Linked DNA regions of Canis lupus familiaris. The protein of the gene in region 5 interacts with the protein of the main gene of each other region in a biochemical or structural test. Links are inferred from orthologs where the notes say so. Each region holds a gene or a part of one and is shown on either strand. Other genes may lie near its edges. The genes, in order: RNF40, UBA1, RNF20, RAD18 and UBE2A.

Evidence for each region.
Region 1: the proteins of UBE2A (region 5) and RNF40 form a complex in vitro, tested with the Homo sapiens proteins (3 studies listed by BioGRID). The link is inferred for Canis lupus familiaris from reciprocal best matches to the Homo sapiens genes UBE2A and RNF40.
Region 2: of the proteins of UBE2A (region 5) and UBA1, one has a biochemical effect on the other in vitro, tested with the Homo sapiens proteins (6 studies listed by BioGRID, with this or other methods). The link is inferred for Canis lupus familiaris from reciprocal best matches to the Homo sapiens genes UBE2A and UBA1.
Region 3: the proteins of UBE2A (region 5) and RNF20 form a complex in vitro, tested with the Homo sapiens proteins (4 studies listed by BioGRID, with this or other methods). The link is inferred for Canis lupus familiaris from reciprocal best matches to the Homo sapiens genes UBE2A and RNF20.
Region 4: the proteins of UBE2A (region 5) and RAD18 form a complex in vitro, tested with the Homo sapiens proteins (12 studies listed by BioGRID, with this or other methods). The link is inferred for Canis lupus familiaris from reciprocal best matches to the Homo sapiens genes UBE2A and RAD18.

The regions. Positions count from the first base shown.
Region 1 is NC_049227.1:17,573,573-17,579,541, forward strand, and holds the start of RNF40 (E3 ubiquitin-protein ligase BRE1B), read right to left. Parts: upstream 3,414-5,969; 5' UTR 3,259-3,413; intron 3,150-3,258; 5' UTR 3,078-3,149; coding exon 2,946-3,077; intron 2,523-2,945; coding exon 2,355-2,522; intron 2,221-2,354; coding exon 2,079-2,220; intron 1,221-2,078; coding exon 1,014-1,220; intron 468-1,013; coding exon 346-467; intron 245-345; coding exon 98-244; intron 5-97; coding exon 1-4. Other genes in the region: CCDC189 (coiled-coil domain-containing protein 189), read left to right, coding at 3,837-4,052, 4,584-4,615, 5,148-5,213, 5,376-5,545.
Region 2 is NC_049260.1:40,996,253-41,001,610, forward strand, and holds part of UBA1 (ubiquitin-like modifier-activating enzyme 1), read left to right. Parts: intron 1-585; coding exon 586-692; intron 693-949; coding exon 950-1,040; intron 1,041-1,150; coding exon 1,151-1,283; intron 1,284-1,809; coding exon 1,810-1,907; intron 1,908-1,984; coding exon 1,985-2,131; intron 2,132-2,273; coding exon 2,274-2,450; intron 2,451-2,567; coding exon 2,568-2,672; intron 2,673-2,766; coding exon 2,767-2,847; intron 2,848-3,224; coding exon 3,225-3,380; intron 3,381-5,262; coding exon 5,263-5,358. UniProt on the Homo sapiens protein: Catalyzes the first step in ubiquitin conjugation to mark cellular proteins for degradation through the ubiquitin-proteasome system.
Region 3 is NC_049232.1:58,595,659-58,601,803, forward strand, and holds the start of RNF20 (E3 ubiquitin-protein ligase BRE1A), read left to right. Parts: upstream 1-2,248; 5' UTR 2,249-2,279; coding exon 2,280-2,371; intron 2,372-3,494; coding exon 3,495-3,567; intron 3,568-5,522; coding exon 5,523-5,690; intron 5,691-5,807; coding exon 5,808-5,955; intron 5,956-6,110; coding exon 6,111-6,145. UniProt on the Homo sapiens protein: Component of the RNF20/40 E3 ubiquitin-protein ligase complex that mediates monoubiquitination of 'Lys-120' of histone H2B (H2BK120ub1).
Region 4 is NC_049241.1:9,273,078-9,278,435, forward strand, and holds part of RAD18 (E3 ubiquitin-protein ligase RAD18), read left to right. Parts: intron 1-2,439; coding exon 2,440-2,624; intron 2,625-5,358. UniProt on the Homo sapiens protein: E3 ubiquitin-protein ligase involved in postreplication repair of UV-damaged DNA. Postreplication repair functions in gap-filling of a daughter strand on replication of damaged DNA.
Region 5 is NC_049260.1:92,286,749-92,292,575, forward strand, and holds the start of UBE2A (ubiquitin-conjugating enzyme E2 A), read left to right. Parts: upstream 1-1,900; 5' UTR 1,901-2,102; coding exon 2,103-2,146; intron 2,147-2,288; coding exon 2,289-2,369; intron 2,370-2,781; coding exon 2,782-2,807; intron 2,808-5,827. UniProt on the Homo sapiens protein: E2 ubiquitin-conjugating enzyme that accepts ubiquitin from the ubiquitin-activating enzyme E1 and transfers it to a E3 ubiquitin-protein ligase. In vitro catalyzes 'Lys-11', as well as 'Lys-48'-linked polyubiquitination.

The DNA.
Region 1 (5,969 bases), on a different chromosome or scaffold from region 5:
TGAGCTGTGGAGAGACAGACCGATGGGGGTGGAGGAAAGAAGCGTGGGTTCCGAGTACTCAGCCGTGGCTCCATCTGACCCAGCAACCAAACCCCACCTGCTCCAAGGCCTCCGCCAGGTGTTTATTGAGCTTCTGCTCACGCTTGCGCAGCTTCTCGATGTCCCACTGCAGATCCTCCACTGTCGTCTCCATCTCCAGCACCTTGGTCTCTGCTGATGTCACTTTATCCTGGAGCTCAGAGTACTGGAGACAATGATCGGGTCAGATACTTAGAAGAGAGGACTTGGCTCCCTGAGAGCCTTGGTGCACATCTAACCCAAACCCTGCCCTGGTTGTAATCCCACCTCCAATGAGATGCGGTGGTGCTTCTCTTGTAGCTGGGTGGCCAAGTCCTGCAGCCGCCGGTTCTCACGACCCAACTCCCGGGTACGTGCCCGAGCCACCTCACCGGGGGGCTCACTGTCCCCTGAGAAGGCAGGGCTCGGGTAAGAGCCAAGTCCAGGGCAATGGGGCAAAGTACTAACTCATTCTGGAGTCTGCTATGTGCCCAGTGTGATCCACCAGCTGTCTTGCCAATTTCTCATGACAAAGCCAGGAGTCTTTATCCCCACTGCACAAAGGAGGAAACCAGCTCAGAGAGGAGAGCCATCTGCCCAGAATGCCCAGTCTAAAATGACAGGATGAGGGCTGTCAGCCTGCAAGGCCTAGACACTTACTACTATGCCTCATGAGTGAGCAACTGCAACCAAAATCTGTGCAAAGTGCTCCAAAGAGGTCTTCGGCTGGAAGACAGTGGCCCCTTAAGCATCAACAACTCCTCCCACCCAGCTCACTAGAACTCAACCCCGTGAATCAAAAGCAGAGCCCCCTCTACAACCTACACTTTTCCCTGAGAACGTGGCTGATTCATTCCTTGGAAAATTATGGCTGCCTCTGGGCTCAGGCATTTAGGGGATACAATGAAGACACAGACAGGGATAGACACCTCTGCGGTAGGACACACAAAACTAACCTCGGCTGTATACTCGCTGACAGAGTTCCTCCACTCGGCGCTGTAGGCGGTCTGAGGCCTCTACAACACGGGACACAGCTGCCTTGGAGAACTCCATTCGGCCCTGCAGCTGCAGCTCCACCTCCTCACTACTGCTTGCGCCCAGTGCTACCACAAAAGCCAAAGCTGGCTCACTGAGGGGGGGCCGCAGCTGCACTGGTAGGGGCTCTGCAAGGAATGGACAGACCCTCGTGAGAATCTCACGAGGGGACCAGCAGCAGTTACCACCACTCCATACCACGTTCTAGACCAAGCCCTTCGCCACTCAATGCTCAATGAACCAACACAAGCAATGCCTGTAATACACTGGTATTACATAACTACGGAGGTTCAGGGAGCTAAAATAATTTTAAGGCCACAGGACTTCCAAATCTTCCTCAGAGAAGCCTTTTCTGCCTTCTCTATCTAAATTAGAACCATACACATGAGTGCATATACACGAATTCTCTTTCAAGAGTCCCTATCCTTTTTATTCATGATTTAAAATCACTTTCTCTCTTGGGTGGATCCCTGGGTGGATCCCAGGGCGTGATGCTGAAGTCCCAGGACTGAGTCCCACATCAGGCTCCCTGCATGAAGCCTGCTTCTCCCTCTGCCTGAGTCTCTGCCTTTCTCTTGCTCTCTGTTTCTTTCATTAATAAATAAATAAAATCTTAAAAAACAAAAAACAAAAAACTTCCTCCCTGATGGCAGAGGCAAGATTTCTTATCTTTGTCTCTTCTGAAGCTGTTAACAGTACTACCTATGTAGATAACACAAGATACTGACAGTTTTTTGAACTAAATGAGTGTCAAATACGACATGCAATACGAACCAAGTCACTCAGATTTCAAAGCCTGGGGCCTTACCTAACACTGCACTTGCTGTCCAAACATCATGAAATCGTTGTGTGTGTGTGTGTGTGTGTGTGTGTGTGTGTGTGAAGGGTGGTGGGGAATTCAGTAGAGTAATATGAAAGTTCCCTCCACTCCAGGACCTTTCCCAGAACTTAATTAAGCTGCCCAGATCCTAGGGCTCTGGCCCTACCCCTCAGTTCCGATGTCCCTGGTTCTGTGAGAGGGGTCTCATCACGTGCTGGCCCCTCCTGGGTCCCAGGCGCATCTGTCCCTGAAGACAGCTCCCCCTGGCTCTCATGGTGTCGAAGAAGGGCTTCCACAGTTTCATCCAGCTGAAGGGAGAAAGCACCAAAAACGTTATGAATCTCTCAGGTGCTTCCCAGCATGATACTCCTTTCCCAGCAGAGTAGTCTGAGGATTGGCAGCTGGATCGAGGCCAGGTCTTGGAAAGCAGAGGGGCATCCACCTGGGCCCAGTAGCGATTGACAATGAGCAGTGTGGCATCATCTGTGGCCTGCCGCTTCTCCAGCTTCTCAATTCGTTCTCGGAGTTCATCTTCACAAGCCTGTCGCTGTTCCAATCGCTCTGCTAGTTTCTTGTTCTTGAACTGCAGAACCTTCAGGTCCATCTCCTCCTACCAAGAAAAACAAAGGGGCAGAGGAGAGGGTCAAATAGAGCCCAAGAAACCAGTCACAGAGAGAGGCAAAAGAGAGCAACTGGAATGGACACAGCAATGGTATCCCCAGACTAACCACTAACAGAATTTAAAGAGGTTCTGACACCCCCAGAGAAAGCATCTTGATTGTGAGGAGGGTCAAGTCCTGCTTTTGCCTCTAGCTCTCAAGTCTTTGACAACTCACACTCCCTTTGGGAACCTGTTTCCCTATCTGTAAAAGGAAGGCAGACGTCGTGTTCTCGGTTTCCTTCAACAGAGGATTCTGTAAAGTGGCTCCTGCTAAGCTTGGGGAGCTAGGATGTAAGGTTCTGGACGATCTGGGCGGAAACCAGAGATGGGGAGGCTGGCAAGTTGTGAGGACTGAGGCAGGAGCCCACGAACCGTAGAAGAGATGCCCCCAAGACGAATAGGCTCTATAAGCGTGGTCGTGGTCTTCTCCTCGCGGCTCAGCTTCTTCTCTGGGGGCCCTGAGCCCCCGTCGCCGGCGGCGCGTTTGTTGCCGGGTCCAGACATGGCCGCGGCGGCGAGGAGCGGCGCAGGGTCTCCCGAGGGACGTCAAGCAAGCGTAGGCAGCACTTCCGTCACCTGCAGAAGACAGAGAGCAGAGATGTGGAGGCGGCCACTGCTCCGCAGCTCCAAGCCTTCCCCGCACACACCTGATGGATCCCTCCCCCGCCAGCCCCGGGCCCCTCACCCGCAGCAGGCTCAGCCTAGCGCCATCTTGGACTTCACCGGACGTCACCGGCCTCCTCAGCCAAGAGCGCAAGCGCCGCAGGCAATGCCGGATGTGGCGAAACTTCATTTCCTGTTTCTATTGGTCGCGCTTTGTCCCGCCTCTCGGGTCTCCTTTGGTTTCTTCCTGAACACCTCCTCTCTCTCCCAGTGATTGGCCAGTAGACAGTTCCCGTGGCAACTGACACCACACTCACAACCCCTAGCTCTAAGGGCATCACCGGCATCCTGTTAGCCGCTTTGAAGCCAGGGCACCCAGACGGCGCCTGAAACTTATTGCGCATGTGCATTTCCTTCTCACTGATTGGCGAGCGTCCTACCCTTGCTCCCTCCCACCACGAGCTCCCTTAGCAACGGTCGCCGTTGAGACGGAGGGAGACGCCCCCTGCGGATTGGTTACACCGGCCTCTCTGCGGCGTAGATTGGCTGAGGCGTCGCTGGAGGGAGGGCTTGGCAGTCAGTCCCGGCCCCAGAACCGGCTTTCCCAGGACCCGGGCGGGACACAGCCTGTGGTGACCCGTGACGAGGAAGAGCGACGAGATGATCCGCCAGAAGTCTAGCCAATTCATGGGGCTGAAGATGCAGTCGGAGTTTGAACAGCCCTCCGAACTGCAGCGGGAACTCGAGAAGGACCTCAGCTCTATGGAGGAGTCCGTCACGCGGATAGCAACAGGTGTGCGGACCGAGTCCGGGACCGCGGCCGGCACCGCGGCCTCGGTAGCAGCGGATGAAGATCCTGCAGCCAACTTGTTCCCGGTGAGGGCGGGACAGAGTGGTCCGCTCATGTTTGTAGAAGGGCTTCCCGGCAGGGTGCCACCGTCCTTATGCTTTTTTTTTTTTTTTTAAGATTTTATTTATTTATTCATGATAGTCACACAGAGAGAGACAGAGAGGCAGAGACACAGGCAGAGGGAGAAGCAGGCTCCACGCAGGGAGCCCGACGCGGGATTCGATCCTGGGTCTCCAGGATTGTGCCCTGGGCCAAAGGCAGGCGCCAAACCGCTGCGCCACCCAGGGATCCCCCGTCCTTATGCTTATTAACGTTCAAGACGTTTCCTGGGTGCCTTGGTGAAGAGGCAGGGGTGTGTGACTCCGATTGTTAAATGCTCATGAATAGTAGTACTTACGGCCTTTTGAAGCCCGGCCTGCCAGCGTTGCTCATACATAACCTTTAACATGAGAAGGCAAGTTAGCAGGTTCTCAGGCCCGCTGGAGATTCCCGAAGGGTCAGGGACTGGGGCCATGGACAGCACGGCTCCGCCTGCCCAATCCGCTTTCTCTCCGCAGCCGCCGTTGCCCCAGCCCCGGATCTGCATGTGGTGAGTGTGAAGTCTTGGGGAAAAGTTACACTTTACACTTGGCATTACTCCTCCCCAACAGTCCTGTCAAACAGCTAGGGCATTCCCCATTGTACAGATGAGGAAACTGCAATTATCCAAGTTAAGTAGAGCCTTCCTGCCTCCCCAGGCCAAAGAAGGAGGGTGGGTGGGAAGGATAGAGCCAAAGACTAAGGATGTAAATGGAATATGGACTGCTATGGAGCACTGTATAAATGAAGACACTGAAGCCACATGGGGCGTGGAAGAGTCAAGAATTCAAGTTTCCTAATCCTCAGCTTTCTAAATGAAGAGGATTGTAAGAATTCGTTTAAGCCATATCCCTTATTTATTTATTTATTTTATATCCCTTATTTAAAGATGAAGAAAGTTATACCCAGAGAGGGTAGTGGAAGGGCTAATCTTCAAACTCAGGTCTCCTGGTTCCCAGTCCAGTGTTTTAGCCATCCTAGCCCTGTCATGAGACTAATGCCTGACGGCCACCAACACCTTTTCTCCTCTTTTCTTATTACAGGAAGTATTTGGACATCCACTCCATGCACAGGCTGGAGAAGACAGCCAACACTGAGGAGATGAGGGAGTATGGGGGGACACAGGGGCGAGCAGAGGAACTGGCTCCTGGGGGAGTCTAAGGGGGCTAGGCTGAGAAGGCATGAATGCCTGCCTCCAGAGCACATGGTGCACCAGTGTGGGGTGGTGAAGGGAGGCTACTTCAGTCCCTCCTTCCTGTCTCCCTCCCAAGGGTGCTAGCTGAGCTCTTGGGGCTAGGCTATCCTGAGCAAAGCCTGCGGGATGCCATCACCCTGGACCTCTTCTCCCATGCACTCATCTTCTGCCGCCAGCAGGGCTTCTCACTGGAACAGACATCGACAGCTTGTGCTCTGCTCCAAGATCTTCATAAGGCCTGTGTTGGTGAGAGAAGGCTACCAAAGGGCTTGAGCCCAGGGGACAGAGGAGGCTGGGATGGTCCAAGTGACCACAGGAAGTAGTGGATTACCACCTGCAATCTTTGTTCTGTCATCACAAGCAGTATCACCACACACAAGTTATTTCAGCTGTGAAACCATTTCCTTATACACAGCACCAACTTTATGAGATTGTTCTGAGAAATACTGTAGGTAGTATTCATAAATAGAAACACAGTGCTCAATAAAATAGCTCCTCTTCCACCTCCCACTTTCTTCCTGGGACAGATTTCCTGCAGAATGTTTAACAAGAGCTGAAATTGCATATTTCTTATTTTATCGTATATCACTTAACGGCAGGACCTCGCCTGTCTAGAATGCCTAGGATGGTGCCTAGAATGGTGCACTGTGGGTACTATCCGTTGAGTGAG
Region 2 (5,358 bases), about 51 Mb from region 5:
TGAGCCCGAAAGAGGAGCTATGGGAGCTGAGTTTGTGCCCTGGGGCATCCCAGTGGCCGGACCCTGCTGCTGAACCTGAAGTAGTTGTAGGAGCTCACCCTGGTGGGCAAGGGTGAGCATTCGGGTAGAAAGAAAAGTCCCAAGGTACCTGGTTCAGCAGGCATTGTCTGGAGAATTGGAAGCAAATGGGTGTGGTAGGAGTGAGCTCAGACTTTGGCTGTGAAGGGAGGTTTACTTCTGTGTCTCCCAGGGCAAGGCAGGCCTGTAGGCGGGCAGCAGTGGGTGTTGATGCGTAAATGAGTCAGCTCCTCTCTACACTCTCCCCTCCTGGCTGCCTCATTACCTTGTCTGCTACCTTGCCCGCCCTGGTGTAGGGATTCGCATTTCTTTTTGCTGGGTTTCACCCTGGCCGAATGTGATCCGTAGTAGATGCTTTGGGAGACAGTATCCACGGAACCATAGTAGATAATTCTGTGAAAGCTTTAAGGACTCTTCTGAGTCCCCCCTGGTTCCGGCCTTCCTGCATTATTCTCTCCCTCTTGCCCCAGTGCTGGGCCCTTGTCCTGAGCCTCCACCTCTCCACAGGTGGTGGTCCTCACCAACACCCCCCTGGAGGACCAGCTGCGGGTCGGTGAGTTCTGTCACAGCCGTGGTATCAAGCTGGTGGTGGCAGACACACGGGGCCTGTTTGGGTGAGTGCCCCTATCCTCATCCCCCGACCCTTGCCAGGCCTGCGCCAAGACCCCTAAGCTCTCATTGCCTTGCCCCTTGGCCACCCGGGTTTCAGATTCTGTGTGTCCACCCCTCCCCACGTAACATGAGTGCTGTGTGATTCCCAGCAGTGATGGACTGAATTTGCTCAGCAAGTATTTGTTCTATCTCAAGGGATATGTCCGGTCCCCATGAGCATGGGACTCTGGGGCTTCAGCCCTGTTGCCTCCCTTTACAGGCAGCTCTTCTGTGACTTTGGAGAGGAAATGATCCTCACAGATTCCAATGGGGAGCAGCCACTCAGTGCTATGGTTTCTATGGTCACTAAGGTAAGGAGATGAGCCTCAGGGGTCCTAGAATGCCAATGGGCAGCAGCAGGCCTTCTGTCTGCTCCTGGTACCCTGAGTCTGCCTCTGAGGTTCACTCCTCCTTTAATCAGGATAGCCCCGGTGTGGTCACCTGCCTGGATGAGGCCCGACATGGGTTTGAGAGTGGCGACTATGTCTCCTTTTCAGAAGTACAGGGCATGGTTGAACTCAATGGAAGTCAGCCCATGGAGATCAAAGTCTTGGGTGAGCTAAGGCCATGGAGGAATCAGGGGTGGTAGGAGGAATCAGGGGTGGTAGGAGGTATGTCCCTGGGCTCTGAGCGAGGGGAGAAAGACACATGCTGGGTGTCTGAGATGAACCAGGACAGAGTCCCCTGGGTCCAACCAGAGCTGGTGGGCATGGGGTAGAGGTACTGTCTGGTGTTTGAGCTATTCCTAGGAGAATAGGTCCTTGGCGTCTGCGCTAAGCGGGGGGGAAGGTCTTTGGTGTTTAAACAGAGCAGATCAGAGACGATCCACTTCCTGTCTAAGCTGATGTAGACAGGGGCAGAGAATGTCTTCTAGTATAGACTTGGGTCCAAGGGCCCAAGGGGGTTGCAAGCCTGTGTCTTGGGCAGAGGGGACATGGTTTCTGATGTCCCAGCAGGACCTGGGGTGGAGAGTTGGCTCCTGATGACTGAGCTGGGTCAGGGATGGAGTTTGCCTTATCTTGGGGGTATTGTGGGTTTTAGGGGAGGGCCGGTAGCTTGACAGTTTCCTCCTCTACCTAGGTCCTTACACCTTTAGCATCTGTGACACCTCCAACTTCTCCGATTATATCCGTGGAGGCATTGTCAGTCAGGTCAAAGTACCTAAGAAGATCAGCTTTGTGAGTGTGGTGGGTAGTGGGGGTGGGGAGGGGTTGGTCCTGGGCATTTCTAGGCTCTGATGTCCCATCCCCCACAGAAATCCTTGCTGGCCTCACTGGCAGAGCCTGACTTTGTGATGACAGACTTTGCCAAGTACTCCCGCCCTGCCCAGCTGCACCTTGGATTCCAGGCCTTACACCAGTTCTGTGCTCAGCATGGCCGGCCCCCTCGGCCCCGCAATGAGGTGGGTGAGTGGGTGGGCCAGCCAGGCCCAGTGACCTATGTATGCCTCTACCTGTCTGCTCTCCCTTCCTTTTGCATCCCCCCCAATCCCTCTTCCCACAGTGGCCTGACTGAGGTCTTCTTGGTCTTTCCTGCCCCACCAGGAAGATGCAACAGAGCTGGTGGCCTTGGCACGGGCCGTGAATGCTCGAGCCCTGCGAGCAGTGCAGCAGGACAGCCTGGATGAGGACCTCATCCGAAAGCTGGCCTATGTGGCTGCTGGTGATCTGGCCCCTATAAACGCTTTCATTGGGGGCCTGGCTGCCCAGGAGGTCATGAAGGTCAGCACAGTGGGGAAGGGCAGGGCCAACAGTGGCCCAGGCCTGTCCCTGATTCCATCACTTACTGTCCATCTGCCTCAATTAACCACTGACCGCTTCCTCCTCCCCACCCCGCAGGCCTGCTCTGGGAAGTTTATGCCCATCATGCAGTGGCTGTACTTTGATGCCCTGGAGTGTCTCCCTGAGGACAAAGAGGCCCTCACAGAAGACAAGTGCCACCCGGTATGGGAGTGGGGCCCATGGGGAAGATGTCATTGGGGGCATTTCTGGCGAGGCTCCCCCCACACTCTGACCCTCCTCCCTTCGCATTCCTCAGCGCCAGAACCGTTATGATGGGCAGGTGGCCGTGTTTGGCTCAGACCTGCAAGAGAAGTTGGGCAAACAGAAGTACTTCCTAGTGAGTGTGACCCCCTTAGACACCCACTGCCTTCATCTCCCTGGGCCTCTGGCCCCCTCTTCTGGAGTCTCCTGCGTCCCAAGGGAGGGTCTTTTGGTTCTTGTAACTCTGTTGCGTGCCTTTTGCCACTCATTTTTTTATCTCAAGAGAAAGCCTTGTTTGTCCTTCTGTTTCCTCCTCTGGCGCTGCCTTCCCTCAGATGGCTCTGGGTTATTTCTGATAGCCCTGGGACTTGAGGATGTGGCACAAGCCCCACTCCACCTCTCCTGTTGTCTTCTGTCATGGGTAGGGGGTGGGGAGTGTGGAGTGATGCATACTGTCACATTCCCCTGTGTTACCCCAACCAGGCTCTATCTGTCTTCTTCGCTACCTTCTAGGTGGGTGCAGGTGCCATTGGCTGTGAGCTGCTCAAGAACTTCGCCATGATTGGGCTGGGCTGTGGGGAGGGTGGAGAAATTGTTGTCACAGACATGGACACTATTGAGAAGTCAAATCTGAACCGGCAGTTTCTTTTCCGGCCATGGGATGTCACGGTGAGTGGAATGAGGAGAAGGGAGTGGGATTTTATCCTCTCCCTTTCCTCCTGTCTTTTGTTTCCATTCTTTCTGGAAAGGAGGGAGGCCTCTCCATCTTTTTCCTTCAGCTCTTTCAGTTTCTCTGCGACACTCCTTTAGCAAACATTTCTTGAGCATCCTTGCGTTGAATCTACCATTTTTTCATCTTTTTCTTTTTGACCTGTTATCAGTGCTGGTTGGGCCAGTGTGTTGGGGGGTCCCCCCGACCACCCCCAAGTCTGATGATTGACTAGGAGGACTCACAGGACTCATCTTCTAGCCCTATTCACAGTTATGATTTCTTCTAGCAAAATGATGCAGAGCAAAATCAAAGGGAAAAGGCATCTGGGGGAGACCAGACACAAGCTTCCGAGACTCCTCTCCCAGTGGAGTCGCACAGGACACACTTAACTCCCCCAGTAGCAAGTTGTGACAACACGTGTGAAATGTTGCCAACCAGGGAAGCTCGTTAGAGACTCAGTACTCAGGGTTTGTACTATGGGCTGGTCACGTAGGCACCGTCCACTGGGCACATACCCAAATTCCAGCCTCCCAGAAGGAAAGCAGGAGTTCAATAGAAACCACACTTTGCATAAGCAGTCTAGGTACAGTGAGCTGCCCTTAGAAGGTAAGGCCTGGTGAGAACCCTCTGGAAATCCAGGTTCCCAGATGCCGACCAAGGGTTGATCTTGCCAGTAGGCCTTCCCTAGGAGAACGTTTGTGTTAGGGTCACTCTTCTCTGCCAGATGGAGTCTAGGTCATTCAGGGGCTCGAGCTGGGAAGCCTTCTATGGGGGACAGTGCCCTGTTTGCCTGCCTGGGATCTGTTCCCCTTTCTTTTTTCTTTTTTTTTTTTTTTTTAAAGATTTTGTTTATTCATGAGAGACACAGAGAGAGGCAGAGACACAGGCAGAGGGAGAAGCAGGCTCCATGCAGGGAACCTGACTTGGGACTCTATCCCAGGTCTCCAGGATCAGGCCCTGGGCCGAAGATGGCACTAAACTCACTAAACTGCTGAGCCACCCGGGCTGCCCTTTTTTTTTTTTTTTTTAAAGATGTTCTCCTTTCCATTCAGTGATGTCATCGGTAGTCATTGGCCTAGGCACCGCTTTCGGCACTTGGGATACAGCAAGGAAACACAGGTTCTAAGGAGGGAGGACAGACCATAAGCAAGCAATACAGTATAATAAATTTGTAGTTAATGTTGATGAGTGCTGTGCAAAGGAAACAACCAAAGCAAGCTAAGGGAAGTTGGGCCTGTCTGGAAGACAGGTTGGCAGTTTCGATTATAATGGTTAGGAAAGGGCTCAGTCCTGCACACCTGGAGGGTAGAAGGGAGTAGAGACCCCTTTTCTGGGTTCAGAGCACCCTAGGCCAGGATCCTGTTGGCGGGGTGGGATGTAGGAGATGAGCTAGAGGAAGTAGGGGCTAACTCATTTTCTCCTCTGTGGAGGGGGAAGCCAGAGGAGGGTTTTGAGCAGAGGAGGGATGTGACTGACCTAGGCTTTGGAAAGATCCTGTTTTGTTTGAGAGGATGGACCCCAGGCCTGGGTGCTATTACCGGAAAGAACAATAGGTGTTGGGTAGTCATAGAAACAGATGGTGGCCTCTTGCTTCTCGTCTACATTTGTTCATTGCTTCGCTTTCCACTGAGCCCCTGCCACTACTGTCACAGCCCTAGCCATGTGGTACTGTCACAGACTATTTCCTGCTAAATCAGGGAGCCTTCTGAACTCAGAGCCTGGTTTTTCCCAGGCATTAAGTAAACCCATTTTTAGGAGGATGGCCCTGTAGAGGTTTGTTGGGTGAATGCATGAATAACTGAGTTCTGTGTTTCCCTGTCCCACCCTTATCCCCCTTAGAAGTTAAAGTCTGACACAGCCGCTGCAGCTGTGCGCCAGATGAATCCGCACATCCGGGTGACAAGCCACCAGAACCGTGTGGGCCCTGACACAGAA
Region 3 (6,145 bases), on a different chromosome or scaffold from region 5:
AGAAACTGCAGATACAAGAAAAGGGAGCTGGTATTTCTGAGTGTGTTCTTCGTGTGCGGCGTTATGCTTAAGTTCTCCCTGTACTTACTCATCCTTTGAAAGGGGCACGGTAATAATACTCTTATCCCTGGGATAGGAGACTGAGCCTCAGCCTCAGTGATGATACACGGCTTGTTCAGTATTAATGATTCAGTAGACACTTCTCAGGTCGCTTTCAGCTCTGTGTTGTCCCCAACACAATAGATTTGGTTCCTGTCCCATTCAAACTATTATTCTGATTCTGGCATTTCAGGAAGTGAGATTTCTCTTTTTTCTTAGTCTCTTCATTCTTTGCCCATTGTCCCATTTGTCTTACTCCTTATCAGCATCCTGTTTAGAAATTAGTAGTTGCCTAGATTCAGCCCTGACTCTTAACTCCACATTTCACTTTTTTCTTTCCAGGAGGAATATGGGGATTGTGTTCCTTGGTATGAAGTTCATGGATTTAGGTTAAGAGGCTGGCAGAAAACTTGCTAGTTTTTACTTTGGAAGTGATCTCTTTATTGTTGCTCTTCTTTCATATCTTACCAAAGTTTCTGTTTTTTTTTTTTTTCCCCTCTCCAGGAAGACAGCTATCATCTGGTGCCAAGATGTCAGGAATTGGAAATAAAAGAGCAGCTGGAGAGCCTGGCACATCCATGCCTCCGGAGAAGAAGACAGCCGTTGAAGATTCAGGGACCACAGTGGAGACAATTAAGCTTGGAGGTGTCTCCTCCACGGTATGTGGAAACAGTTCTATGAGAGCGTGCTTTTCTTTTCTCAATTACAAGCTGAAAGTAAGAATTTATGGAAGCCTTCTGGTCTAAGAAAAATTTATTTGAAAAGAGGGAAATAAAACAGGCAGAAGTAGGTGAAATGATGTGGTCAGTTCTGAAAAGAGTATATTGACATTTGATCTTTATTTCCAAAGGTATGCTTCTGATCTCTGGAGAGTGTGGTGCCTGATACACATTGATTATAGGCATTCAACAGTGGGAAACTGTACAGTCATTTTTCATTCACTGAAAAGTTAGGTGCTAGGTACTAAGAGGCGGTGTTCCAAAATCACTGAGAGAGTTGTGATGGGTCACAGTCTGAGGCCAGACTTCCTGGAATTCACTCTCAGCACTAACACTTTCTAGCTGCATGGCTTATCCTCCCTGTGCCTCTTCTCCATGTTTATAAAATTTAATATGGTACCTACTTCATTGGGTTGTTGAGATGATAAAATGAAAGAGCCCCTGTTAAGGGTCGAAATGTTACCTTTAATATGTAAGTACTCCTCCATATATGTGAGCTATTAATAATAATTATTGGGCTAGGTATTATGACTATCATGGTGAATAAGATAGATACTGTCCTTGCTATTATGGAGTTGACAGATTCATTAGACTGTTCTACACCAGAAGCTTAGAGTAATGTTATATGTCCATTAGACATCAGAAGTTCACTATAATAAGTGTGGATCTAGATTAGGAGTCTGTATTCTGAAACTCAGCCATGGGGATATGGTGTTAAAATGCTACATTTGTATAGCTTATGAAACCACATCTCTTCCTTATTTGAATTAGGCTCAAGATGAAAGAGAAAATGGGAACATTCAGAGTAAATAGTTGATGAAGTGTCATTTCTGAGTCTGTCTGGGGTTCAACTACTCTGTACTGCTGCCAGGAGGTGATTTTGTCTTAACACTGAATCACGTTATGCATCCCAAGGACATTTGCTAATTCAGTAAATATAAATATTTGTTGAACATCTGTTATTTCTAAATACTATGCTTTACACTGAAGACAACCCCTGGACTTCAGTTTGTTAAGATGGCACTGCCAAGAGACCAGACTGTTCTAATATTTATGAGTGGGAGATGTGATGTTCATAGGGATAAATAGCCATAGGCTCTAAGGGAAGCAGACAGGATTCATCCCAGTTTGGACATTATCCACAAGTCATTAGAAGGTCTTAAGCAGGAGAGTAACATGCTCTGACTTCTGCTTGGAGAATAGATTATAGAGGAGCAAGATTTAGAGGTTGAAACGTTAGCAAAATTGTTCCCTTGTTCCTTCGCCCTCTTCTCCTTCCCATTATGGGTGGGGAGTTGGGACATATCTCCACTGATTCCTGCCCCAGTTGGTTGAAGGTTGCCTTTATAGGCAATATCTCTTCTTCTGCACTTCAAGGTTGCTGTAGTGAGCCAGCTGAGATTGTGGAACAAAAGTTGAAAAGATTCCAGGTGGCTTGAGGTGGGAACACTGCCTGTATGAATGGAGCTGTCCACCACGGCTGTGCTGAAGTCTGGGAGACTGACAGGACATGGCATGGGGAACAAAAGTGTCCACTACAGGAGACTGTTGCAGTAATCTTTTTTATTTATTATTTTTTTATTGGAGTTCAATTTGCCAACACATTGCAGTAATCTTGATGAGGGATCATGGTTGCATGGGTCACCCTGGAGGTAGTGTTGACAAGATTTGCTGGTGGAGTGGATGAAGTTTATGAAATCCCCAAATTTGTAAGTATAGACTGTCCACTTACTGAGCTAGGGAGAAGTAGGAGAGGAACATACTTTTTGGGAAGCTGTGGAGGATGAATCAGGAATTTGATTTTTGACATGCAAGTTTGGGATACTTATTAAACATCTGAGTGGGTAGGTGGTTGAATACTATAATCTGCAGTCTGAGGAGAGGTCGGGGTAACGCTGTACATTTGGGAGGAGGTATTTAAATCCATGAGACTAGAGGCTCTAAGCGAGTGTAGATACAGAAGAGGTTTGATTGAGAACAGAACCCTGAAGCGCTGTGATGTTTTCATTTCAAAGAGATGCAAAGAGACAGAAAATGAAGTAGATGGAGAACAAGAGTGACTGGGGGCCCAGAAGTCAAATGAAGAGAGTTTCAGGAAGGAGTTGTTCAGGTGCTGCTGATGGTTTGAGTAGGGGGAGCATTGAGACATTTGGTTTAGCAGTGGAAGGTTCTCGGGAGCCTTGATAACTGTGTTTATGGAGTGGTAGTGCTAGAAGTCTGATTGGAGTGAGCTGAAGAGAATAGGAGAGGAGAGGAATTAGAGAAAAGAGGGTAGAGACCGTGCTTTGCAGGAGTATTGATGACTTTGTCTTTGCAAGACAAAGAAATGGGGCATTAGCCACAGGGAAATGTGGGGTTTAGGGAAAGTGGTTTTGTTTTGTTTTTACGATAGGAGCTATTACAGCAGGTTGATTGAAATTATTTGGTAGAGATGATAAAGTTGATGAGGTAGTAGAAAGAGGAGATGGTTGCTGGTGTGAATTTCATGAATAGGGGAGAGAGCATGGCATGTAACATACAAGTGGGGAATTGGTTTTAACTGGGAGCAGGGGCAGTTGATCCATAGCAACAAAGAGGAACACAGTGATATGAGTTCAGTTGTAGGTAGGTCAGTAGTTGCAGTTATGAGAGATAGATGTGGACATTCTCTCCTGATTGCTTCTATTTCTTTTTCAGTGAAATCAGAGGCGACTCATCTGAGAGTGAGGATGGGGGAGGAAGTGTTGGAGGTTTGAAGAGACAGGAGAAGGTATGAAGTAGTCATCTTGAAGAGGGAATGGACTAGAGAGATCGAGTATTGTTGCTGGGCAGCACTGAGGACCTACCTGACTCTGTGATCATGAGATAAAGTGAGCCCAGGCAGCACGGTACTTTGTTTTGTGGTCACATTCAGCTGCATGGATGTAGGCCTGGAGTAGTGGAGAGGTGGATGATACCACGGGTGGGGTTTTTACCAGGTAGGTGTGGAGAAGGAGCAAGGAAGGAAGAGGTTCTAAAAGGAGATGATTATGACTGATCATGGAATTCAAGTTCAAGAAAGAAAGGGAGTGAGGAAGTGAGAGGAGTGAAGGATGGGAAAGATAGAGGACCAATGATTGTAGGTGCTGGAGAAAGTGAAGAATTGGAGGAATCAGGGAACCCGAGAGAATGAGCTGGACAAGTAGGTGGTAATTGTGGAAAATGGGGTGTTTGAAATTCAGCTTATAGAGAGCATACACGTACAGCTCAGGCTAAGAATAAGAATAACAGAGTTTGGTGGCTGAGGGAGGTAGAGGACAATATCATTGGAGGAAAGGAAGTCAACGACTTGAGGATTTGAGATACAGGAAAGATCATCTATATGGGAATTGTAATCAGTAAGAACCGTGATAGTAGTAGCATTGGAGAGTGATAAGCTAGGTACTAAATCTTAAGGAAACATGGGGAAGTAATCGGCACATTTATAGACCAGTGCAGGAAGGCAGGGTGGCAGGAGGATGCCTGCCTGTTTCTGGCCCAGGGCAGTGCTGGAGAAATGTGCAGGGAAACCGTATTCTCATCCTGGTTTCAGTTAGAGCAAGAAGGGGAAAGGAGGGCTCAGAGAAGAGGTTAAGGATATCTTTTATTAATGGTATTAATAACTATACGTTTGGAACTATTGACTAATTTGGCATATCAAGTGTTTTAACACTGGAAGAAGGAGAATAAAATGGAAGAAGGAGAATAAAAGCAAAACAGGATATTGGTGCTCTAATAAACAGTGCTTACTTTAAAATATTCATGAACTTCGAGGTAAAGTAAAAGTGTAATCCTTTCCAATCCTTTGTTTCTGTGCCAGGGTTCTCCCTCCCTGACCTCTACCTCCCAACTTGTCCTAGGGAAGAGGTTAGGGTGAAAAGTTAAAGATACTGAGAGAGGTGTGGAATTACTGATGGAGTGATATTTTTGCAGAAACAGAAGGGAATGAGATCCTGAGCACAAGTTGAGGTCAAGTATGGAAGATAGTGGAGATAGAAGGGATTGACAAGGAAAAAGGAGAGAATTAAAATCCTGGAAGATCTAGATGAGGATTGGTATATGGGGATAAGGGCACAAGGTATCTGGAAAGATAAGATTTTATTCAAGGAATTTAAGGTCTCAGTTGTGACAGAGTTACAGATAATGACAGAAGTCCAAGATATGGCCTTTGAAATGTGTGGCTGAAGCACAATGGGGGAGATACTCACTAGAGTTAAGGAATTCAGAATGCAGCGTAGCTGCTAGAGGATTCGATGGTCTGTCCACATGTGTTCATGTCCACATGCATATTGCGCTCACTGCATATGTTGGCAGGCACTGGGGCATAGAAGGGCCCAGGTGCCGAGGTTCTTGATCGAGTGAAGGGCAGTGCTGAGGAGATGGGTGGCAGCATTGATCAGGGTGGAAGGTGCTCTGACTGAACAGTGGAGCCTCACAGGACTTTGTGGATGTCCATGAGAAAGAACAGTGAGATGGGCGAAGTCCAAGTCCTAGTATATGAGTGACATTCTCACTTCCCATCATCGCAGATTCTTTCCTTTTCTTCTTCTGTTCCTACTTCTTATCCAATGATTTGTTATAAGATTTAAAAAAAAAAATGAACAGCTTTAGTCATAGCAATAACGAATTAATGTGACCTTGTTGAATTTAACAGCTGATTTGCCTGATTTCTTTGGGGAGACTAATAAAATCGGTTTCCCGGGGCAGGAGGAGCTAGACATTCGAACACTGCAGACCAAAAATCGCAAGCTGGCAGAAATGCTGGATCAACGGCAGGCCATCGAAGATGAACTCCGTGAGCACATTGAAAAACTGGAGCGAAGACAGGCCACTGATGATGCCTCACTGCTGATCGTCAACCGGTACTGGAGTCAGGTAGCTGCCTCATTCATTTGCTCAGGTTTTTATTTGAGCATTTTTGTTCTCAGCACTCTTCATTTCTCAAGTTGTGTTCTTTTGGTTTTTCATAAATGTTGTACCCACCCTTCTCAGTTTGATGAAAACATCCGTATCATCCTTAAACGGTACGATCTGGAGCAGGGTTTGGGAGATCTCCTCACAGAAAGGAAAGCCCTTGTCGTGCCCGAACCAGAGCCGGACTCTGATAGCAATCAGGAACGGAAAGATGACCGAGAGAGAGGTGAGTATTTGTAGTGGATCTACCACCACATGCTGTGTGGGTGTTGGAAGTAGAGCTTTGCTTTCAGGATTTCTATTTGAGGCAAGAAAGAAGACTTTGGTATTTCCACTTTTATCATGTTGACAGCTTTTTTTTTTTCCCCTCTGTGTCCTCAGGGGAAGGGCAAGAGCCAGCTTTCTCTTTCCTTGCT
Region 4 (5,358 bases), on a different chromosome or scaffold from region 5:
TCCAGGATCACACCCCAGGCTGCAGGCAACGCTAAACCGCTGCGCCACCGGGGCTGCCCAATTCTGAGGACTCTTAAATGCATTACTCACTTTCACTAAATCATGGAAGAAGGATCAGTGTTATTTTCATGTTTGGGGAATCATCTATCAAGCTCATGTTTTAAAATTCTGGACAGAAATTGTTCATTTCTGCTAGTGCTTTTCATCGTAAATGTCAGTGAACAAACAGTTTCTCATTTGAATTTCAGTCATAAGTTTAATTGTCTATCTTTGATAGAAATAAATGTTTTAGATACAGACTTAATGAACTGTCCTTCACAGTGTGCTTGTATAAACTCCTATAAAACGTTTCAGCTCTTGCTACCCACTGTGACTTTATTTAGCTGTAATTTTACCTGTCTTGTGGAGCCCACCAGGCAATTTTCAGAAATGTAATCTTTTGAGGGTTTGCAGGTCTTTCTATAGTTAAATAGTTATCTCTGGCTTTTGGGTGTTATTGATAGAGCATAATAGAAATAATTTAGCCAAGGAATGGTACTGTTGGTTAGTAGAAAAATGTTTGGTTGTTTTCAGTCTATGTATATTCAACTGTATTATCTCTCAGTATAACCTTTGTGCAATTTATGTCAGATTTACCCTATGGAGGCTTGTTAACATAGATTTTAGGTCTCTAATTTAGAACTTAATCTTTGCTACGTAGGTGATGTGGAGACATGACCAAGAATCTGCAATTTAATAAACTCTCCTGGTGGTTCCAAGATCCACTATAGTTTGTGTAGCATGGCCTTGAAGGCGAACTAGTTATATGCAAGTCCTCTGTAAAATCTTGGACTTTTTTTTTTTTTTTTTTGGATAAACCATTTACTTTCAAGTATTTATTAATTTTACTGGAAACTTTGGTATTTTAATTTTGAAATTATTGGAATTGTAATAGCTACTTTGAATGCATATTTATTAAGCACTTAATTGCCATGGTGTTGTGCCAAGTAATGTACTCAGCCAGTTTATAAGATTAAGTAGATTAAAGCTCACTAAGGAGTCCCTGTTTATAAAATTATCTCGAGTCATTGATACCCTTAGGTAGTTTGACTTCTATTCCATTTTGTAATGTTTATTAACTGCTTTTTTGAGGGAGCAGAAGAAAATAATTTAATAGGGCTTTGCTATATTAAATTATAGTTTGTGCTTGTCAGCATATTAATTATATAAGTAGAATGAAGAGCCAGGTGGTGGTTTTGCTATTACACTTAAAATCCTTATATATTTAATATAATTAATTGAAGTTGAAGAGAATAAAACCCATTTATATTTTTTGCTATTATTCACAATCATGTTCTTTGAAGATGATGCCATAAGAATATTATCTGCCTGTCAACTTTCAGAACTCTTTTTTTTTTTTAAGATTTTTATTTTATTTATTCATAGAGACAGAGAGAGAGAGAGAGAGTGAGGCAGAGACACAGGCAGAGGGAGAAGCAGGCACCACACAGAGAGCCTGACGTGGGACTCGATCCCGGGTCTCCAGGATCACGCCCTGGGCTGCAGGCGGCGCTAAACCACTGCGCCACCGGGGCTGCCCCAGAACTCTTTTTTCATTGGCAGTAATAAATTTGGTAAAGCTAACCATCCCAACATATCTTTTATTTAATCTAGAGCTTTTGCACAATGATTACCTCCACTTTGAGGGGACAGTTTTGCCTATGGACCAGCACTTTTTCTAAAGTAGCTATATTCTTAAATCCGTAGTCTTAATTTCAGTAGTGTTTGTACTCTGATTTTCCGAGGTAACTGTTTTTTGCAGAGATTTTACATGGAAACCATGGATGTGTTTTAGGACAAACATGCTTTAAAACACTGGAGAATTGAGGATGTCTATGTAAGTGTGTTTCTAAAGTGAGGTTTTCATAGCATTTAGTGCACAAGCCTTCCTTTTTTTTTTTTTTTTTTTTTTTTTTTTAAGATTTTATTTATTCTTGGAAGACACAGAGAGGCAGCAACATAGGCAGAGGGAGAAGAAGGCTTCCTGCAGGGAGCCCGATGTGGGACTCGATCCCAGGATCCCAGGATCATGACCTGAGCTAAAGGCAGATGCTCAACCACTGAGCCACCCAGGCATTCCAGTGCACAAGCCTTCCATGGGCATCTTGGGCCTGCATCTTTAGGCCTGAACTCTTTTTGAGGCCTGTGTTTCTCTAAGGTTGGCTGCCACCTACACCCCGGTATCTGAATGTGCTGTGGGTACCTTAGAATGATATGTCCAGCACCGTCAACTTTATTTGCAAATTTAATTTTTCTTCTCTTTCCCATTTTTATCTTAATGGTTCCACTATCTTCCCAGTCATACTGGTACTCCATCAGAAGGCAAGTTAACTGTTTTATGTGAGGAGCATTTGCTAATTCACAGTAACCCTAAGTGATCTCTTTCTTTCCCTTTTTTAGTTCTATTCACAAAAGGAAGCCTCTGCCCAAAACCGTATATAACTTGCTCTCGGATCGTGATTTAAAGAAAAAGCTAAAAGAGCATGGATTATCTATTCAAGGAAATAAACAACAGCTCATTAAAAGGCATCAAGAATTTGTACACATGTACAATGCCCAGTGTGATGCTTTGCACCCTAAGTCAGGTAAGCTAATAAAGCAATGATTTCTGCTTGTTTTCTGGTTAAAGCAGTTTTGTATAGCTCAGGGATTATAAATCATAGAAAAAAAATTTAATGAATACAATTTTGATAATAGTTGAGACATGTAAATATTTTCCTTCAAAGGTACCTAGAATATACTCTGATAAGCCTTTCTCCCAGCTGGTCTGTCAGCCACTATTCCTTTCTCAGAAGCAACCACTGCTGCTGGTTTCTTTTGAATATCTTTCCAGAGATAGTATGGAATGAAGAGTTGATCTAGAGAGCATGGGTTATAATCCCAGTTTTGCAGCTTTATGACCAGGGATTTCGGGCAAGTTACTTCTCTCAGTTTTCTCATCCATAAAATAAGTGTTATAATACTATGGATTGCATAGTATTTTTGAAAGGAATAAATGAAAAGTGCATAGCACCATACTTTAGCAAATAGTTAGCATTTAGTAAGTGTTATCATTATGATTGTTAATTATACACAAACATATGTCTGGGATTGTTGTTTGGTAAAAATTTAGTATTATAGGGGATCCCTGAGTGGCTCAGTGGTTTGGCACCTGCCTTCAGCCCAGGGTATGATCCTGGAGTCCCGTGATCAGATCCCACATCGGGCTCCCTGCATGGAACCTGCTTCTCCCTCTGCCTGTGTCTCTGCTTCTCTCTCTGTGTCTCTCATAAATAAATCTTAAAAAAAAAAAAAATTAGTATTATATACAAACTATTTATTTATTTATTTATTTATTTTTAAAGATTCTTTTTTTTAAATTTTTATTTATTTATGATAGTCACAGAGAGAGAGAGAGGCAGAGACACAGGCAGAGGGAGAAGCAGGCTCCATGCACCGGGAGCCCGATGTGGGATTCGATCCCGGGTCTCCAGGATCGCGCCCTGGGCCAAAGGCAGGCGCCAAACCGCTGTGCCACCCAGGAATCCCCCAAACTATTTATTTAATGGTTTGTCCTTTTTATTTAACCACACGTATTTTGGAGTTCTTTGAATTATTAGCATATATAGAATTGCCTGATTTTTTAAAAAACTGAAACATAATATACAAACAGAAAAGTATACAATTTGTATTGTTTGGTGACTTATCATAGGAAATTTCACAAACAGAAAATACCTTTGTGACTATCTTTTAGATCAGAACCAGCATCCCAAAAGCCCCTGTGCTCCCTAACTCCAGTCATTCCCACCTTCATTCTCACAGATGACCACCATCTTGACTTCTGACACCAAGGATTATTCATTTTGTCTGTTTTTGCGATGATAAATTCCCTGCAGAGTAAGTGAGCTGAAATGACGTGGGCATTGTGATGTAGTGTTAGGCTGCTCTTGATCTTCTTTTGACAATTTGTCAGAGGAAGATCATCTGCTTCCCAACTGTGGTTATTTGGGAATTACCAAGGCTGTGGAGGCAGGCCACAGCTAAGGGGGGACCTCCTGTGTTTCCATTCCCCAGGTCAGTTAGGCTTCAGTAATACCCCAGGTGATTAGGCTCTGTTTAACTAGTTTCCTGTGAGTGCAAGCCTTGTTAAGAGGAAAGTGCCCTGGTATATTTGAAAATGGTTCCTTTTCCTCTCTCCTTGCTTGAAGCCATAGATTTTTCTTCGATATTTACTGTAAGAAACTTGAACTCCTGAAGGTGAATCTCGCAGTCTTGTCTCCTCTACCATCCTCCAACCACAACTGGGTCTCCCTGGGGTTTTTTTTTTTTTTTTTTTTCCACTCTTCGAGGTATCTGCACAGGACTTCCAACAATTAATTAATTACAGTTTAGGTTTTCCCATCTTTTGTACTGTTCCCTGCTGCAGTTTCTGCTTGTAAGTTTCTGCTAAGGTAAGCCATTATTCTCTGTGTTTGTGGGTCTCCACATTCTTGGGGGCATTAGTTTGCCCTATGTCCTCCCCTCTATTGTGGATCTAAGAAGAATTGCTGAATTTTTAACCTGTTCAGCTTTTAATTTGTTAGGATGGAATGCCAACTTCCAAGCTCCTTCTATGAAGAACTGGAAGTCCATTTCATTTAAATGAACTCTTACAAATCTGTGGCCTTCAATGATGAACTTCTTTGATTTAGCAGAATATTTTCAAGGTTATCCATTATCCATTGTTAGCACTACATTCTTTTTTATTGCCAAATCTTTCATTGTGTGGATATGTTACTTATATTGCCTATTCAGTCTGGGATTTTCTCTCTTTTGGCTCTTGTGAATAATGCCACTATGAATATTCACACACAGATTTTTGTGTGGAATTGCTGGGTTAAATGATAACTGCATTGTAACATTTTGAGGAACTGCTGGACTGTTTTCCAATGTACTTATAACATTTTACATCTCACCAGCATGAGGGTTCTAGTTTTTCCACATTCTTGTCCCACTTGGTATTCTGTCTTCTATTTTGGTCATCTTAGTAGTGTGAAATGGTGTGGTTTTGATTTGTATTACACTGATTTTTGATTATTAAAGCAATCATTTATCTTTAGCAAGGACTCTTTGCATTTCATCTAAATTCTTGAATTTACAATTTACTATTCTTTACTAATTTCTTTTTTTTCTTAAGGAATATTCTCTAATTTTCTTTTAGTGTCTGTGGGATCTGTGGTGATGAACTATCTTTCATTTTTGATATTAGAAGTGTGTCTTCTCTCTTTCTTCGCTTCATTGGTTTATCTACAAGTTATCCATTTTATTTATTTTTTCCAAAGAACTAGCTTTCCCTTTCAT
Region 5 (5,827 bases):
GGGCCGGACCTGATGAGATAAGCCCTTAAAGTGAACTGGGGCTCTTCTTGAGACTCCAAGTGTGAGGGGGCATTGGCAGGAGAGAAGTTCTCTGGTGCTGACTTGAAAATGGAACAGGCCAAGTGGCAAGGGATGTGGGTGACCTCTGAGAGCTGAGAATGGTCCCTGGCTGGCAGCCAGTGAGCAAATGGGGGCCTCAGTCCTTACAACTGCAAGGAACTGAATTTGGCCAACAGCCTGTGGTAATCTGTTAAATAGCAAATGAAAACAAATGCACTTGCTTTTGTAGATTACCTGTGTGTGTATCAGTTGCCTGCCAATTACGAGATGAGAGGAAAAGGAGATTTTCAACTCATTTTTGTACCCCCTGCCCACCACAGTCACAGTGTGAATGTTGTTAGGGGAAAGTTGGTGTCAATGGGAGATATAAATCCTTGCCCATCAAAGTACCTGCTGTTAAGCAGCAGCTAGAATCATTACCATTGTCAAGTGTCTCCCGCCTCAGAAACAAATTTCTGCACATCTGCTATTTTACGGATGTCTTTGCTCAGATGCCTCACTAGTCCCATGAACTCAGTAAGTCCTGAAACTGTCCCTCCCCACCATGTTCCCCACTCTGTTCATGGCACCTTCAAAGCCCCAGTTTACTTTGGGGACTTAGAACTCAAGCCTTTGCTGATTCCCTCCTCCCTCTGGACCCCAAGTTCAATCTGTCGCTGAGTCCTCTCCATTCACCGCCTCTGCTCTATTTTTGTTGTCACTGCCTGGCTCAGTGTTTCTCACCTGGACTACTTCAAGTGTCTCCCAGCTGCTCTCCTGGGACCCATCTGTGACTAGCACTGGCTCTAATTATGTGCAGCCACCTTCTAAGGAATCCATTAGCTTGGAATTCCAAACTCTCCCGGATGTAACCGAAACTCACCTTTCTCATGTTTTCAGAAATTCTTTAAAATGAGTGTTTTGCCTACCTTCTAAGTTATTTTGGGTTTACCTTTACAAACTATTCTTTAAAACTGTTATTGCTTTTGCAGGTCCACATACTAACTGTGACTCCTCTCTGCAGCCTGCAGCTTTTTCACGTGCATCTTACCGTTACTTTTACTTCAGACTCTCTGCCCTTCCAATTCTCCGCAGTCGGATATTCTCATACCTTGGACTCTTCTGAATATATAGTAGCCGCTTGGCTTGTTGAACTGCCAAGGGGAAAATGTGGTTCCAGAGCCAAATTGTGAGTGCCCAGAGCGAAAACCTCATTCTGCTTGCCTTGAGTTCACATTCCCTCCCCCAGGACACACACACACACACACACCCCACTATTTTATTTTTGCTTTGGGGTGATCATTGGCCTAAAACATTAGGACCGGAATCCCGTACATTCATCTCCCAGACAAGGGACCCACAGCTCCCTTTCAGAGCCGTGGCCGATTTATTCTTTTGATTTTCAGCGGTTTGAACCAGTCACACACCCTCCTCCCCAGCCTCCCGTGTCCCCAGAGTTCCCGCTTTCCGAGAGCCAGATTTGCCTCCACCTACTCTCGCCTCCCTTCTCCTTGGGGACTTCCAACCTTCTTCTCTACCCACCCTCCCTCCCGCCCCCAGCCACAGTGCGCACTGTAATAAGTGATCTGATCTTTAAAAAAAAAAAAAAAGATAGAAAAAGAGAAGAAAGCTTCCTCAGGGTTCGGCTTGGCCCGGGCGGGTGAAGAAGGACCCCCTTCCACCACTAATTGCTAGCGAATTCCAGGCTGACGCGCAGCCGGCAGCTCGCTTCACTCCCGCACGCGCCCGGCGCTCCCCGCCTCCCGCCGGGGTTTAATGACCTAAGCAACTTTCCTTGCCACCCCCCCCCGCCCTGTCTTGGTACGGCCTGTCCGGCGTTAGGCGTTCCACCCCCCCTCTCCTTCCAGGTTGGTTCAGCCCCCGTCTACTCCGGGGTGGTGCTTAGCCGGCGCCAGACCGACCCTCGACTTCGGAGGGGCAGTGCCGTTCCTCTGGGCGCTTCCTCGGCGGCCGCTTCGGCTCCTCCAGCCTCCTCGGCCTCCTCAGCGTCCGCAGGGACCCGAGACCTCGGTGTATGCCCCACCCCTGACCCCGCTAGAGATATGTCCACCCCGGCTCGGCGGCGCCTCATGCGGGACTTCAAGAGGTAACGCGCCGGGGAGCGCTGAGGCGAGGCCGGGGGCTGCCAGGCGGGGCACAGGGCGGGTCCCGAGGCGGGCCGGGGGCGGGGGGCGGCCCGGAGCGGACGCGAGTGCCGGATTGCGGAGCCCCTGTCTGTTTCCCTGAAGGTTGCAGGAGGATCCTCCGGCTGGAGTCAGCGGGGCTCCGTCCGAGAACAACATAATGGTTTGGAACGCGGTCATTTTTGGGTGAGTCTGCGTTCCGGGAGGTGGCGACGGGTGAGGGACTCGAGCTGGCCCAGCCTGCCCGAGGGCACCGGCCCCCGGCGGGGACGGAGGGTGAGAGGGGAAATGTTTGGGTCCGGCTGGGCCTAGGCGCCTCCCCGGAGCCTGTGCCTCGATTAGCTCAGTTCCCGCTGCCAGGGGAACCGTTTGGGGTTCTGAGGGGGGCGGAGCGGGGAGTGGTGGCGGTTAGGCGCGGCGGCCTGCGCCCGGTTGCCGAGCCCGAAACCTCTCTCTGTGGTGGCTTCCTGCCCCAGGAAGCGGCGCTTTACCTGAGGTGGAGTTGGCGGAGCTGGGAATAGCCCTCTCTTAAGGTGAACCTCTTAAGGGAGAAGGGAGCCCCTTAAGCGGGAACTGACTGTTTTTCTCTGTGTTGCAGGCCTGAAGGGACCCCGTTTGAGGATGGTAAGAGAGTTTCTTTACCCACCTTTCAGGAGCCTGATCATCTGGGGGAAGGGGTTCCCAGTCATGCTGGAAGTGCCTCCTACTTAAGAGCCCGCTTCTCCCTAGCCTCTGCCTGCTAAAGGCTTGAGTGGAATCCCGAGTGTGGCAGGTTGTTCTGGCCATTGTCCGCTTGACTAGAACTGCACCTTTTTTCTTGCTTTTTGCTTGCTAAAAAAAAAAAAAAAAAAAGAAAGAAAGAAAGAAAAAGAAAGAAAGAAAAAAAAAATACCCCAACCCGGGTAAGGCAATCACTTTTTAAGAGGAGCATCATAGATTGATGTTAAGGATTTTTGGGGTTTGGGCTGTGAACCTGCTAAATTTGGCCCCCTATCAGGAAACTGACTTAGTATCAACCCGATCACTTGCTGATAGACACAGAGACCCCCTAGTTCAGAATTCTGCCACAAGGGCAGGAACTGTGTTCAGCAGCTGCTTGGTATGTGTTTCTTGGATGAGTGCATGAATCCCTTGCACAGAACTGTCCAGTTTCTACCATCTGGCATTGAATGCCTGTCAGCCTACTGCTCTAAGATGGTCTTTAATGGCACCTTTAATGGCCAGTTTGAATATTATGTTGTTTCTTATTTTTAAAAGAGTTTTTGGTGTGCTTTTATCAAGACTTTATGGTCAGTATTCTCAAAGCAGCTTTGGAATTGAGGGGAGCCTTAATGTACTCTCTTGACGAGTGTGCAACCTACTTGGAGGTACTATGTGTACCTGTAGATACAGGATTTTTAAGGGATTTAGGCTTGACTTTTAAAAACATGTTAGTTGCTTTTTGTTTTGTTTTTTTTTTAACTGTTTGAGATAATTCTAGATTCACCTGCAGTTAAAATTACTACTACTAATAATGATAATAATAGAGACCTTGTATACCTTTCACCCATTCTCCCACCCCTTTGTTAACATCTTGAATGACTGTCATTCAGGACAAAATGTGACAAAAATATCACAGCCAGGAAACTGACATTGATATAGTTTTATTTGCATTCAATTGTGTGCATGCTTGTGTAGTCGTTTTTTGAAAAGCTTAATACATTTAAAACACGATTAAAAGTATTTGAACTACTGATCGACATTTTTAATATTTGAGGTATTTAAAAAAGAAAAGGATCTTTCTGTTAATTTTTGCAATGACCATCTTCCTTTACTTATTTAGTACTTGATACACACACACACACACACACGCATGCACAGAACTCAGTTTGAAGGTGGGAACAAAAACATTCTGCAAGCTACTAAGTATATACTTTATAGTGCTGAGTTGGATTGCTTTTTTTTTTTTTTTTTTTTTGGATTTCTTTTTGATGCTACCAGTCCACAAAGTGTGATGAGGGAGGGCAGTATCAACCATTTCTCTAATTTGTTTCCAATACTCAGATTTCCCTAAGAGACTATGGACAGTCACCTGAATACTTTTAGCCTCCTCTCTATCTCCGCCCCCTGAGTAAATGTCACTGCTCTTCAGTGCTGCAATAAAAAGAAATGACAGTAAGAGAGTGATTCTAAAGGCATACTACTTTGTTGCAGCAAATCTTTTGAACTGATCCATGGCAAGAGCTAGCTTGACTTAATTTTCCTCTACTAGATTGGTGCTAGTTCATTATACCTAAGCATTGTGTGCAGATTAACTGTGTGTTTGCTTTAGCTCTGGCAGGCTTTGTTTTCATTGGCTGCTTTTTTTTCCCTCCTGACTTTACTCAGACAGCTTTCTGCTGGGCACAGCTTTATTAATAGTACATCACTTTGCTGGAGGATTGGCTACTTAAATATTTCAAGGGTGCTTCACTTGTTTTAAGTGGTATGAATTGAGAAGGTACTTAAGGAATCCATTATCTACCTGGATCTTCCCCAGTGACATCACTGGTTCTATTCTTGATGATGGTGTATCTCCATACTGGCATTACTGAAAGGAACTACTCCAGCTAAATGACAATTTTGATTCATTCTGTTGAGCAGTCTGCTATCCGTGGATGCTTCCTCAGGTGTCTAGAACACAAACTGTGGCTACAAAAAATATTTTGACTATTTTTTAATACCCTTTATTGACAATTAGGACATTTACTAGAAAAGACTGGTTAGAGACAAGGGGCATAATTGATTTTGCTGTTTCCAATGTATTATGTAAATCAGCAGTCCCAAAACTACTTTTGCTGCTTCCTTGTAAACTGGGGGACATTTCTGGAACAGCCAGGCCCCAATTAAAGATGAAGACTTAAGAAAAGGAACTCTTGAAGGTATTTTGATTTAACTTCACACACTTAAAGTAAGAGGAAAATGTTCCCAAGAACTTAATACTACCAAACAAAAACACTGGGGGGGGCAATGCTTCCTCATCAAGATATGCTGAATACAAAAACTATGGAATAAAGTATTCTCCATCACATCATCTAAAAATTGTTGATTACACACAGTAAGATACTAGTATTTCCTTTTTGTTTTTTTTTTTTTAAGATTTTATTTATTCATGAGAGACAGGCAGAGACACAGGCAGAGGGAAAAGCAGGCTCCCCACAGGGAGCCTGATGCGGGACTTGATCCCAGGACCCCGGGATAACAACCCAAGCCAAAGGCAGACACAACCACTGAGCCACCTAGGTATCCCAGTATTTGCTTTTTGTAATAGTTGTATTCTTAAGAATTTGGTTTAAGTCTTTTAAAGGTTAATCACTTAAAATCCACTGAGGGTGTTCTTGAGATAAATATATCCTATGGTGAAGAGTATTTGGGTATTAACTTAAAAATCAGAATTTCCAGTCATCAAAAAAGAAGAATTTTTTTTAAGTGCATGTACTTGGTTTTCTCCTCTGGGGTCACAAACTGGTGGCCAAATGGCAGAAAAACACAGGTATTTTCTTTGGCCAACACAGCATTTTCAAAATTGGGATTTGTGAATGTCTTTAGCAGGACACAAACTCTCTAATGTAACCATTTCACTCCTTATTGCCATACCTCTACCATTGAACACATGTAATTTTCAC